2 linked regions of the Caenorhabditis elegans genome follow. The protein of the gene in region 2 purifies or fractionates together with the protein of the main gene of each other region. This does not show direct contact. Each region holds a gene or a part of one and is shown on either strand. Other genes may lie near its edges. The genes, in order: klc-2 and unc-14.

Region 1 (5,345 bases), on a different chromosome or scaffold from region 2:
CCACTGCTATACACCACTACACCTCAAATTGCAAACATTACGAAATTCCGCCCAATGTTTGGTTGTCATTTCTTTCGAAACGTCGGTCGCTTGCTAATCGTTGGGTATATAAGCAACGTTGACTACTAAAGTTTTCACTTCGGTCCGGAGATTATGGGTTATCAATTTGACAATTTCCTGCCAGCAGGAAGCCCTGGTACCAGGGTTTGGTACCGCTCATGTTAATCTCTCCGTGTTCTTCATAGAATACAAACCCCTTCCCATAATCACCAACTTGACCGTTGTTTTTTGTTAATTTTTTGAATATCAGGGTAAATGTTTTTCAAGTCTTATTGAATAAATATCATGAATCTTTGCAATTATAATTTTTCTCGAAACGTTTTTCCAATTTAATCGGGTTCACATTTTTATAATTAAAAAAAAATGTTATTATGCGAATAGCTAACAAAAATAGAAAAGCAGTGTTTAATTAGAACTTGATACATATAAATAAATGAGAACTTGTAAACTTTTGGAATTTTGCGAAGAAGTGTAAAGCTTGATGACGGAGTACAATGTCGAGCAACAATCAATACATAACGGATCGTTCCATTCTTCGAGATTCGGACATCTGAAATTGAAGTTTTCTTTTTCTTGTAACAAGCAGAATTCAAAAATAAACCCTTTATTTACAACAACACGATTTTTCAGCTTGTTATAATTATGTTTTTTTTTTTGCTTGAAAAGAAAATTCGAAGCAGACAATATAAAGCTTTACCAAAAAGTTGGTGGGGGCGGACAAGGAAACATTCAATTATTCAACCCTATTATTTATGAACAAGATTTTGTGAATGAGGGGATGGGGCAGAAAGAAAAATCAATCAAAAAAAAAAGAATCATGCACAACACAACGAAAGAAGAAAAAAGCAAGTTTTCGTAGATCTGAGACAAAATTTCAGAATTTGGAACTTGAATCAACGAGCACTTATTAATACAAGAACGATAAGCGGTTTTCAGTCAGTGCTGCAAAGAGATGCTCTTAAGAGTTGAATCCGAGTGCATTCATTAGTTTATTCTTCAATCCAGTTTGAGATGTGCTCGTTGTCATCGAGTTTCTGGATCCACCGATTGTAGAAGCCATCATCGACTGGCTCATTTCATCGATTCCGCCCATCGCTCCACTTCGTAATGGCTCATGCTGAAAGAGGAAACAATACTGAAAAGAGGAAACGAGTGACCAAATTCTAAAGCACATCACTATCACTAAAATACAAAAATAAGCGTTTTATGTGTTTTTTTTTGTTACTGGAATTGTTATTGATGGGGGCTTGGGGAGGACAAGAATATGCTTCGTATTAAATTTAAACTTTAATTTTAAAAAACAATTCGTTTGAATGAGCTTCAGATTTGTGCAATATTTCAGTATTTGCCAATTTTGGTTCAAAAGTTGGCAAGACATTGTTCAGGCAGCATCTAATTTTCGGGTTAGTTTGAAACATAGTTTTGGTCAAAATTTTATTGTCGAATTTTTGATGTGTGCGGCAATTTTCGAAATTTACCGTGTCCGGCAAGTTCGGCAACCGGCAAATTCGGCAAATTTGACGCACTCCCCTGGTTTGAAACAACTGTTGTCAATGTTTTAAGTTCCAAAAATACATGTAAATATGAAGCAAATTCTTGTCACTGGGGTATCGGGGACGCATACAACATTTTACAACATTAATATCTAACTTCTAAATTTTTTTTCTGAACTTTTGTATTTTAAATGCAGTAAAGCGTGCTAGATAGAGAAGCCATGAATGCAGAAAAAACATCATTACATACCTGTTTCTTTGCTCTCAAGGCGACATCTTCCAATGTTTCGGCGGCTTCATATTTTCCTTGTCGCCGGTAAAGGGCTCCAAGGTTCTTGAGAGTTGTTGTGACGGTTGGACTGGAATCAGTTTTGTTTAATTTATTTTTTTCTAATAAAAATCATAATACCTATCAACTTTGGCGGCTTTTGCCCATCCAGCTTGTTCGTTGGCAGTTGCACCTTCTCCCTTGTGCTTGTTCTCCTCTCGTTCTTCAGCGATTTGCCAAATTGGTTTATTCTCTCCACTGATCTGTCCGAACTCTCTTTCATGAGCTCTGGTGAGAATTTGCTTGTACAACTCCTCAGCCTCCTTATATTTTCCTTGTTTCAAGTAAGCAGATGACAAATTGTTCTTGGTCTTTGCCACATTCGGGTCATCAGGTCCAAGTTTGCTCTCGTAGATTTCGAGAGCTCTCTTGTAATACTTCTCGACTTCTTCATACTTTCCTTGATTTTGGCAAAGAAGAGCAAGATTATTGAGTTGCTTGGCCACATCTGGATGATCATCTCCAAGAACTTTCTCGCGAATTTCAAGAGCACGCTTGCAAAGCGGTTCAGCATCCTTGAACTTTCCACGTTTTCCGAACAAAACTGCGAGATTGTTGAGAGTGGCGGCAACAGCTGGATGACTTTCTCCAAGACATTTCTCACGAATACTGAGAGCCTCATTCAGAAGATTTGCAGCCTCTTTGTACTTGTTCTGATCTCTGTAGACAAGTGCCAAAATATTGAGCATTGTGGCAACATCTGGATGATCGTGACCACTCGTTTTCTCCAAATCTTCCAAAGCTTGCTTGCACAATGGAACTGCAACTTCATAACGACCTTGGGAGGCGTATTGAATGACCAAGTTGTGAAGTGTGCGAAGACGAGCTGGAATTTCGTATCCAACATTAGCAGAAGCCGCCATTTGGTTGGCTGGTGTTGGTTGGTTGAATTGACTAGCATTCATATCTTCTTCGTCTTCTGGTCCAAAACCAAGTTCTTGAAGAGTTTCGTTTGTGACTGGTTGTGGTCCAACATCGACAGATGTCTTAGTATCACTTTGCTGAAAACAAACAAAATAAGTTAAGAATGCTCCTCGAAAAATTCAACTTACAGTTCCATCATCAAATTGTTTGATTGATGCCATATACTTAAGATGCTTGTTCTCCTCTTCCAATTGAGCAACCATTTGCTCCGACTGTTGAAGTTTGATTTGAGTTGAACTCAACTCATCACGAAGCCACGCATTCTCCTGGCACAAGCGTCTCCGTTGAGCTTGGTATTTCTGATGTTGAGCATCCATTCCTTGAGTGAGTTGGAATACCATCAGCATCAACGATGTCTCATCAACTCCGCACACCAACTTATCCAAATTATCGTTAATTTGTGAAAGCTTCTGCTTCGGCAATGGAGCTTCATCTTCTTTCACACCTAAATGATTGAATTTTAGTAAATGTTCAACTCGTCGTAAAAAAAGCCATACCTTTGACACTAGTCTCCAAAGTATTCGAAATTGTCGAGTGTTCCTCACGAAGAGCTTCAAGTCCCTGCTGAACGGTACGTAGGCCCGTCGTCACGTCGTCCTGCGACATGTTTGACATTTTCGCCAGCGACTCGATTTTTCGCCTGAAATTTTAAATCTATTAAATGTAATTGGAAGAAGTTCGAGAAGTGTTGGTAGCTAACGAGAAAATTTTTTCAGTGAGTAAAAACAGTTGAATCTATGTAGATCATAGCTATTAGGTCGTTCAATAAGTTTTGCGATAGTCTTTTTTTTTAATTTCAGATTTATCAGAAAAAATTAACCCTTTTTTTCTTTTAAATGTAAATAATGCCAAAGTATGGCACAACAAAAATTAATTAAAATCTTGCATTCTCTCAAAAACGTAGAACTAGATTCAAAAAATATTTTTCCATGAATACTGCTCACTTTGGAATTCTAAAAAATGCAAAAATTTGAAAATCAGCCTGACAGTTTTATACCATAGATCTATTTGGTGCAAGAATTTGGAAAATCTATTATTTAGGTAAATATTATCCAGTTTCAATTTTATGGCTGAAGTTAAAAAAAACGCCAAAATGAGCTCTCAAAGATTGAGGAGGGCGTCTTAAATAACAGCCCTGCCATTTGCTATTGAAATACAGGAGATCGTGGCGAGACCCCCTGAGAAAATACGCATGTGCCTTTAAAATGACATTCCACATTTTCACAAAATAACGATAAACTTATTTTACACCGAAACGTTGCTTTGAAATAAGTTGAAATAAAGCAAAAATGTTCCAAATGTTCAACACGTTTTAGAGAAAATAAAAATCATCGTGGATTGATATTTTCTTTTAAAAATTTGTAATTTTTATTTACTCGGTTTTTGAAATTTTTAATTTGAAAAAATCAAGGCTGCACTATGCGCTATAATTTTTGAAAATCAATAGCATTTCGTGGTAGAACTAATATATTTCTTTGATTTTGCTAGGTTGAGTTGCACTAGAACAATTTTGGAAAAACTTTTAGAAAACTGAGAAACTTTTTGGAATATGTCAAAGATAAGCTAAATATGTGCAACACTATAGGTACAAATTTCGCAATATAAGCAGAAATGAAACCAAATTTTAACTTTCTAATAATTTCTCTCCTGCAAAAGCTCATAAGAAATGGTTCTGAACATAAAGATGCTAATAAAGTGTGGACAAGTAAAACATAACGTTGTTCGGAAAGAGTGTTTGGTTGTATTAACCGAAAGCCCGCTCTCGTCGTGTCGGCGAATAGACAGCGAGACGTGCGCAGCCACTGATGAGAGATCATAGAAATATTAGAGACAACATAGAAACTATTGATCGTCCGTCCAACATGGAGGAAATGAGAGAGCAAGAGACGGAGGCGAGAAAGAATTGCGAAACAATTGGAAAGATGCATCCTTTCATAGTTAATTGCAATGTTTGGACACCTGAGTTTTTATGAAGAATACATCTAGGATTTGTTTAGCTTCATATGCAAAAAAGTATCGAAATTGCTTTGTTTCTCAAGAGAAAGGTGGGATTTCAGAAAATATAAAAACCAAAAAATAAAACATATTAACATAAACTTCTCATGAATTATTAGAATTTGGGCAAAGAGTTTTGATTCATATATTCACTATTTCTGAAAACTTGTCATAAGATCTTGCAATTTTGAATTAGAGGACTAGGAAAGTAGATTTCGATTTTTATTTTTATTTTACGGTAGATGCAAATTGAAATTTTTTGAAAATTAGGGTATCCGCTTAGAATGTACTGTACATTTTTTGTTACAGCCCTAGCGGAAATAACTTTCAAACATTTTTTGATGAGTAATGCATGTGATAAGAAAATGATTCAACACTCTAAATTCCAATTCTCATTTCAAATTAAAAATATAACTTACTGGCGATATGCCTGAATAGTAGAACCGGCCAAATTCATGATGGTATCCAGCTTGAAAGCTTCCACGAGCACTTTTTCGTATTCGGCTCCAGGATTAGTGTCTTAAACTTTTCAGTTTAGATTTATG
Region 2 (7,702 bases):
AATTTTATCTAAATCACAGGAACTCACCTACAACAGCCATCAGAAAAACAAGAAGAATTGTGAAATTCATATTAGATTTGGAAATTCAGTGTAAGAACTTCTTGCTTTTTACAATTTTCTCACCCCCTTTTATAGGATTTTCAAATGTTATTGTTATCTCGAAATAATTCGTTCTTATCACATCATTCGACATGAGACACTAATGGAAACTAGTTCAGATAAAAAAAAAACATCTTAAGATCAAAATGTTTTTGGTAAATATTTGTGAATTGTTGTAATTTGTGATTCGTTGAATTACTATTAATCATTAAATGTTACGCCCGGTGATCTTTGAAAATTATTGAAGGCTATATTGCAACGCCACTGAAATCCAAAAAGTGTAAAAAAAAAACCAAATTACAAAATTATTTGTATGTTTTTTCATTTTTAAGTTCATTTTCAAACATTTTAGATTATTTAATAACTTTTCCAAATTTAAAATTAATAATTAAATGCATTTTATTTATTGTTTATTTTCAAAAACAATACAAATCCGATTGGCTCTATTCCAAAATACAAATAAACATTTTCGTTTTTGTTATTGAATAATGTTTTGGCAAGCTGCAAAGAATCCAATAGTTGCCTCGATTTTAGCTGAAAAAGGAAGGAAATAAAGCAATTTTCTTCTATACGAAGATAGAAGGAGCAAAATTGGAGGAAACCGGAGGGAAAAGAGAGGCTATCTAATGACTTTTAAATTCAAAAAAATATTTGAAAGTTTTCAAACATTTTTCATGAATTCAGTTGAACATGAAAAAGAAATGAGTATCATTGAGGGAAAACGATGAATGCATGGGATGGGGGATCAAACTCGGTTGAATTGGGTGGCATGACTAGAATTATATGAAGCATCGGAAAAAAATTAAAGTTCAAGAAAAAAATAAAGTACAGAGTGTTCACTGGAAAAGAAGATGTTCAATCGGAATAACTCCATTGTTGATTTTTGAATGAGAAGTCGTTAAACGGACACATCGAGCAAGTCCTCCACGAGTTGATAGAACACTAACTTTTTCTCCGTCTGAGAGGGAGAAATTGGCAAGTGTGAAGTCACCCATTATAGATGCAACTCGAATACGAGATGTCGTTGAAGGTGATCGAGCTGATCGAGGTGTTGAAGTTGTTGAGCTGATACTGATGCGACTGAAAAATTGAAAAGTGGTTAAGAGTTGTCAAAGATCAAGAGAGCTTTTGATTGCATTTGTTGATTTTTTTAGAATCAAATCAATTGCCAAAAATAATTCAGAATATCTACCCAACACTCTTAAAAATGAGGCACAATTACAGCGAAAAAATTCACTGAAGAAATTTCAGAGCGAAATTTTTAGAGTGTGGTTGCTGAGCTTTGCTTAAAATTTTTTGATATCCTGGTCTAAATGCATATAAACTTTTAAATAAGACATGTCTCGTTTCGAAGTCTGCCAATTTTGCAATGAAAAAACAAACAAATTACCTTGTTGACAATGGTATCCTTGATCTTCTTGATGGAGCAGTTGATAATCTTGCTGGGAACGATGAACTCTTTGGAACTCTTGAGTCAGAAGCTATTCTGGATGCTCCGCCCCATTGTTGCATTGATTTGAACTGTTGGTGAACTGAATCACTGCGAGCTTCGATCACTAAAAATATCAATGTGCAAATTTCAAAAAGGGAACTATTGGGGCATTTTAGATATACATTCATTTAAGTTGTTGTTAATGAAAACTAGAATTACCTGGCAAAAGAGACAAACTGTCGACCATTCTCCAAAGAAGAGTTCTGTATTCAGAACTCGCAGAAAGAAGGAATGCATTTTCAGAATACAATGTTTTCAGCACCTTCTCTTTCAACACAATATAGCACAGCCAGCAGTCCAATGAGTTTTCTCTGTAACTCTTACTTGAACGATTATATTTCTATTTTCTCCGATTACCTGATAAGCTCCTCAAAGAAGATTTCAACTTTGACGTTGTCAGTCTTTGAACATTCTTCCAATTGTTTTACAATTGAATGAACATCTTTTGTAGCTGGGCCTTTTGAGGTAACCGTCTGAATCATTGTCCATGCCGATACATTTTCTTGAAGACCATCTTCAATTAAGCATCTCATGGCGCTGAAAATGTTGAAACATTTTAATTTGTATTAATAAGAGTCTATTTTGAGTATTTTTTATTGAACTGGACTATTTTTCCATTTTTTTTTACATTTTCAGGGTTTCTTTAAAGTTGCAGACCCTCATATTTAATATTAAAAAATATTTCTTACATGACAAGCAAATCACTTCCATCCCCTCTTGAAATTGCAGCAACGCCTTCAACAACATTCTCAACGAGTGTCCGCTTTGCTGCATAAATCGGCAATCCGACAATTGAGAGCTCTTTTGCGCGCAGTTGATGGCGAGTCGTTGAACTGAAATGAGAAATGAGATTTCGAAAGAAGGAAGAGAATGAAAAGAAGTGAATGTGCGCGGGTAAGTGATTGATGATGAGGGTCAAATGGAAGATTAAAGAGCATAATAGAGTCAGTGAAGAAGAAGCTTACGTTGTTGGTGCAAATGAGAAATTCGTATCCGTGGGTGTTGATGCGCAGTCACAAAGAACCGTCTTTGATTGGGCAGTTTGAGCCCAAACTGGTGGGTGTATCCTGAAAAAAATTGTTATGAATATTTTAAGACAGAAAACCATATTCTAACAAATAGTGAGATACACATTTATTACACAACATGTGTCTTGTATACTATTTTAACGATTGGTCATCAAACGTTTCGTCACCCTAAAGCAATTAGCCGTTAGCTTCTCAAATAGCTCATAAAAATCAAAAGATTCTTACCTCCTTCGTACTCGATAACACGTTCGACATGCTTCATTTGCTGATGCTGAAATACCAGAGATACGGCGATCAATGCAATTTGATACGATGTTTGTTGATGTTTGGGGTGCTGTTTTTGATGTACTTGATGTTAATAATTGGGTGTTGCTCTTGAAGAATGAACATGCTTCTGCGACGTGTCTGAAACATTACAATTAAGAAAATATTTTTAGTTTTGATGTGATTCTCAAAGCGTTAATAGTGTTTTGTTTAAAATGCCAAAAAACCTAAAACAAAGCTAAAAACCTCAAGTAGTTTCAAAACAATCAACGTCTTAAAGGTTTCAGCAATCCATATGATTGATTGAAAAAGCGAATCGTTGATCGGCTTGAAATTCTCATTTCGGAGGTAATTTAAACAAAGAAAAATTAGCCAAAACAGAAAAATCTATTTTTTCAATTAAAAAAAACATTATTTTCCATTCTCACTAGTTTCTTTCGTTTTTCTTTTGAGTTGTTTCAGGGTTATAGACTAGTTTGAGTATTTTAAAACTAAATCCACACTCACAATCTCCACCTTTAACCTTTTCCGATAGATTGACCAATTTTCAAAAAAGTCAATCACGTGCCCATTTCAGTTTTCTTCCCTCAATTTCCGTTCACCCCACAGAAAAAGTCCTTTCTTTTCCCAATCTTCCCTGCGCCATCTTTTCTCCGACTGGGTTAACGGGAAGAAAGAAAATGTGAAAAATCTCTGCGTCTCTTATTTTTCTCCAATGTTTCCCTTCAATAAAAGAGTGCCGGGGCGCGAAATAATCTTGAGATTAAGCCGGCGAAAAATGAAAAATGAGCGAGCGAAAGAAAAAAGGGAAAATCGAATGAAAAACGTGACTCACTTGGGCAGAAGAACAGATAGAGATTGCCAATCTTCAATGTGGCTCGGACCACTACAACCGAGTCCTGAGTCGGGAGAGTCTTCCTGAAAAAGAAAAGGATGAATAATTAATGGAAACAAATAATGTGAGAGTATTAGAGACTGAGAAATATCAGATTACGTGCCACAATGAGTTCATGGGGATAACTACTGTAGGAACAATTAAATTTATACTTATATTTAGTTAAAGCTGCGAATGGAAAACCATTTAAAAGTATTATATCGTGGTAAAACTTTTCGAAAAAATTAATCAGGCTTTTACATATCTAAAGTCAATTTTGGAATTTTTGACAACTTTTTAAAATTTTTACTAAAAATTTGGAAAGTTGAAAAAGGATACTTGGTTGACTATTATGCAAATATGTTTACTAAATCACCACTGAAGATTTTCTTGTTTAAAATTGCATGCACTTTGAGTTTTTATGATCTTACCTGCTTATTAAAACAGCATTAAAACAGCAATTAAAGCAGCTTATTGGAATAGGTATCCTATTTTAGCTGATAATCAGACTTCTGCACAATAGGGAAAACTTGTTCAATTTATCTCATGGTTAAGTTTATTTTTCAATGCTAAAAACAAGAACTTACTTGAAAGAAGAGCGGAAAATCATTGGTTGAAGTAATCGACGGTAGTGGCTCACATTTCTGCATTTTAATAATAGCATCACGGAACGAAGCGGTGAATGACTCGCAGAGAGATGGCATCTAAAAATTAATTTATTTAATTATAAAGTTTGAATGCATGTTCTAATTTCTCATGGTTACACTACTACTAAAAGACATTATCTAGACATGCGTCCGTATATGAAACATTAAAAAATAGAAACGAACGCAGTCAATCGATCAAATGAATGGGTATGATAAGTGCGGCGCGACGACTACAGCGGCGACGTTGACACAAAAAAGAAACCGATAACAATTTTGGTTGTCGCGGATTGGATTATGTAAGATTGATGTTTATTTCTTGCTTCTTCATTTGCATCCCGACGGGATACTTTCTGTTTTTTCTTTTAAAAATTATATTCTGTTAGGATCATTATCTCAAAAATAACATCGACCTACAAAATTGTTTTTAAATGGGAAGGAATGTGATGACCAACCGATGATACTATCTAAGTATTTGCAAATTTAGACTTTAGAATTTAGTTTTTGAAAAAAATGTGTTGACTAGAAAATAAACTAGCAATAAATACTTGTAGTCATTAACACAATGTTTTTATTTGTCAGTTGACAGCTATTCCCAAGATACATAGGTTTTGTATATTCTGTCAGACAGTATTTTTATTTATCAGTCTTGTCAGTATTGAACCACTTTAACAGTTTATATCCCGACGGCCAGATATAAACTGTTAAAGTAAACCGAAAAAGAGCAAGATTAGTAGGAGAAATACGGTGAATGTTGATGAAATTCAAATGTATCAAAATAAATTCTTTAAATTATTTTTTTGAAAAAATTGTTTATTTTCTTTACTGCGGAAAAAAGTGAAGATGATTTATTTTTTGGAAAAACTTAAAACGTTGCATCGAAAGAAAAAAGAACGCTCCGACCACCTCGATCTTTGCCGCAGAACACAATACAGACAAAATTTATCACCCGTCTCTTATCACTTACGAAAAAAAAACTGACCTCATGATGCATTGCCAGGAAGTCTAATTTCGGAGGCTTTTCATTATCAGACGATGTGATTGCCATTGAAGTTGGTGCTGTTACATTCTTTTCCAGAATATCCGCAAATGTTCGTTTCTGATTTTGTCCTCCAGATGAGCATCGTCTCGCTGAATCTCTTCTCCAACGATCTTTACGAATTATTTCTTCATTTGCCTCGCGAATTTCATTATCATTTACATCGACGAATCGAGTAGCATCTCCGGAAACAAAGTTGGCAATCAGTGAATTTGGACGATTTGGTGATCGAGCACTATCACTTCTTTTTACATTCCAAACATCTGGAGCACTGGCAGTACGTTCATCCAATGGTTCAGATGTCCGAATCCGACCCCAAGTTGTCAGATTATCATTTATACCTGATTGCCAATGTCCAGAGTCTGCGAATGCTAATTGAAAATCTTCTTTTTTCATTTGACATCTCTCTCGAAACTGTTGAGAGTCTAAAGAATCAGTTGATACAGAAGGATCAACTGATTCAAAGAGCATCGAATCTTCTCCACAAAAGTTGAGAGCAGCGATTCGAGCATCAATGTCATCGGGCCATTGATCCTCTTCAGGCATCATGTGCAGTTCGCACAGTTCCACCATTTTGGTGGAAGAATTGAGGGATGAAGCCCTTTGTAGACGTTCAGAATAACAGAAGCTGACTAGAAAAAGAAGAAATAAAGGGACGCGTCTCGCGCCGCCGCGTCGCCGTCGTTGTCGATCAATGAATCTGCGTCCCTGGCCTTTTGAAAAATGAGAGAACGAGAGAAAACGAGAGAAGCGTCAGCTGGCTATGCAATCCAAATTGTATCTCTCCGTCTCACTCTTCAATATACTCTTCTCGTTGTGTTTCGCAACGGAGAGATGTTGTCTGTGTCTCTGTGTAGCGCTGAAATGAGAGAAACACTCTTGAGAGTTGTATGCAAAGAATAGAAGACAGACGAACGAGAGTAGTTTGAGGGAAAGTGTTAGACGAGATGGCCGAGAAAATGTACTTGTGCATGAAAGATGATTGGCTCACATTTTTCAAGACAAAGAATCGTATTACTGTGATGGTGGACAACAAGTCGGAGAAATGAAAATTGAGGCAACTTGATACTATTGTCATACAGAATCTTAGAATCCACAAAACTTGGAGAATAAAAAAACATATAAGCCCATGAAATCATTTGAGATTGAATTATTTTTGCAAGGGCTGATTTTTGAAACATTTTCTAAAAAGTTTTCAAAAACATCTTGGTGCCAAAGTTGTATTTTTTTTGCATAAGAAAAGTTTGTGTTCAGAAAGTGACAAGAGTTTTTCCAGGAAAAAAAGTTTCCAAAAAACTTGAAAAACGGTTCCGGGAAATGTTTTAAACTCTGTTGTGGGCGTGTTCGTTCATGTTGTGATTTTTAATATTTTACGACCGTAACGTTGGTTTTCTTGAAAATGAACACTTTACGACAAAAAATCTAAATTTCATTGTTTTTAAAACTATAAAATAAAACTTTTCAGTGATTTCATTGTTAATGGGTTTGTAAAACATAATTGACTTCCATAGCTGAGAAGCCAAGATGACTTAGCCAAAATTTACTCCAAGAGTGCCAAAATTAAAACAACTCTGACATGTTTCATATTTTTTCAAAATTTTCAAACAGAGTTTTGGCAAAGTGCCATAGTTTGAAACAATTAGACATTTTTCAAAGATGAAACTGAAGTGACTGTTAATAAAACAATTTCAAAACGTTTTCAAGTCATTTGATAACTATTGAAATAATGTAGTCTAATGTTCTCTAGAGTAACTTGGAAAATGATTTGATACTGTAGTTCTTATATGTGGAATATACCTTTTCTCTTGTGGGGGGTCTTTAGGAATTTTCAGAAGATTGTCAGACTATTCTATAAAATCAAATGAGTCAAAGAGCATTCCACAATAATACCATTCCTTTGGGACAATAACCAAACGTATATCATTCATCTCAAAACTACAAACATCTCTTCCCATCTTTTTTTTGTCAAAATGGGACACTCGAGATGCTGCTGCTCTCTGTCTACTTGACACAACTGATATGAGAAAGAGAGTGCGAAAGAAAAAAGATCTATCGGTGTTTGTGTGACGTGGCAATTCATCATACTTCGTGGGTGAGAAATGATTGATTGGGACACAAGAAAATGGTAGAGGAAATTGAGAAAATGAGCTTAATTAAAATAGTGGGCAACGATGCAAACAAAATTTAAGTGATGAGAGACGGAGAAGAAGGATATGAGCAAAGAAATTTACATTCACAGAATGATTTGAAGTTTTTGTAGAT

Evidence for each region.
Region 1: the proteins of unc-14 (region 2) and klc-2 purify together in Caenorhabditis elegans (affinity purification with western blotting, with the first as the bait; one study listed by BioGRID). This does not show direct contact.

What each region holds. Positions count from the first base shown.
Region 1 is NC_003283.11:5,576,085-5,581,429, forward strand, and holds klc-2 (Kinesin light chain), read right to left. Parts: upstream 3,421-5,345; coding exon 3,303-3,420; intron 3,251-3,302; coding exon 2,934-3,250; intron 2,883-2,933; coding exon 1,963-2,882; intron 1,913-1,962; coding exon 1,804-1,912; intron 1,178-1,803; coding exon 1,019-1,177; 3' UTR 653-1,018; downstream 1-652. UniProt on the Caenorhabditis elegans protein: Kinesin is a microtubule-associated force-producing protein that may play a role in organelle transport. The light chain may function in coupling of cargo to the heavy chain or in the modulation of its ATPase activity.
Region 2 is NC_003279.8:7,122,125-7,129,826, forward strand, and holds unc-14 (RUN domain-containing protein), read right to left. Parts: upstream 6,123-7,702; 5' UTR 6,014-6,122; coding exon 5,384-6,013; intron 4,462-5,383; coding exon 4,345-4,461; intron 3,802-4,344; coding exon 3,719-3,801; intron 3,025-3,718; coding exon 2,845-3,024; intron 2,659-2,844; coding exon 2,557-2,658; intron 2,425-2,556; coding exon 2,281-2,424; intron 2,129-2,280; coding exon 1,949-2,128; intron 1,903-1,948; coding exon 1,751-1,902; intron 1,656-1,750; coding exon 1,490-1,655; intron 1,180-1,489; coding exon 936-1,179; 3' UTR 490-935; downstream 1-489. Other genes in the region: K10D3.8 (uncharacterized protein), read right to left, coding at 28-70.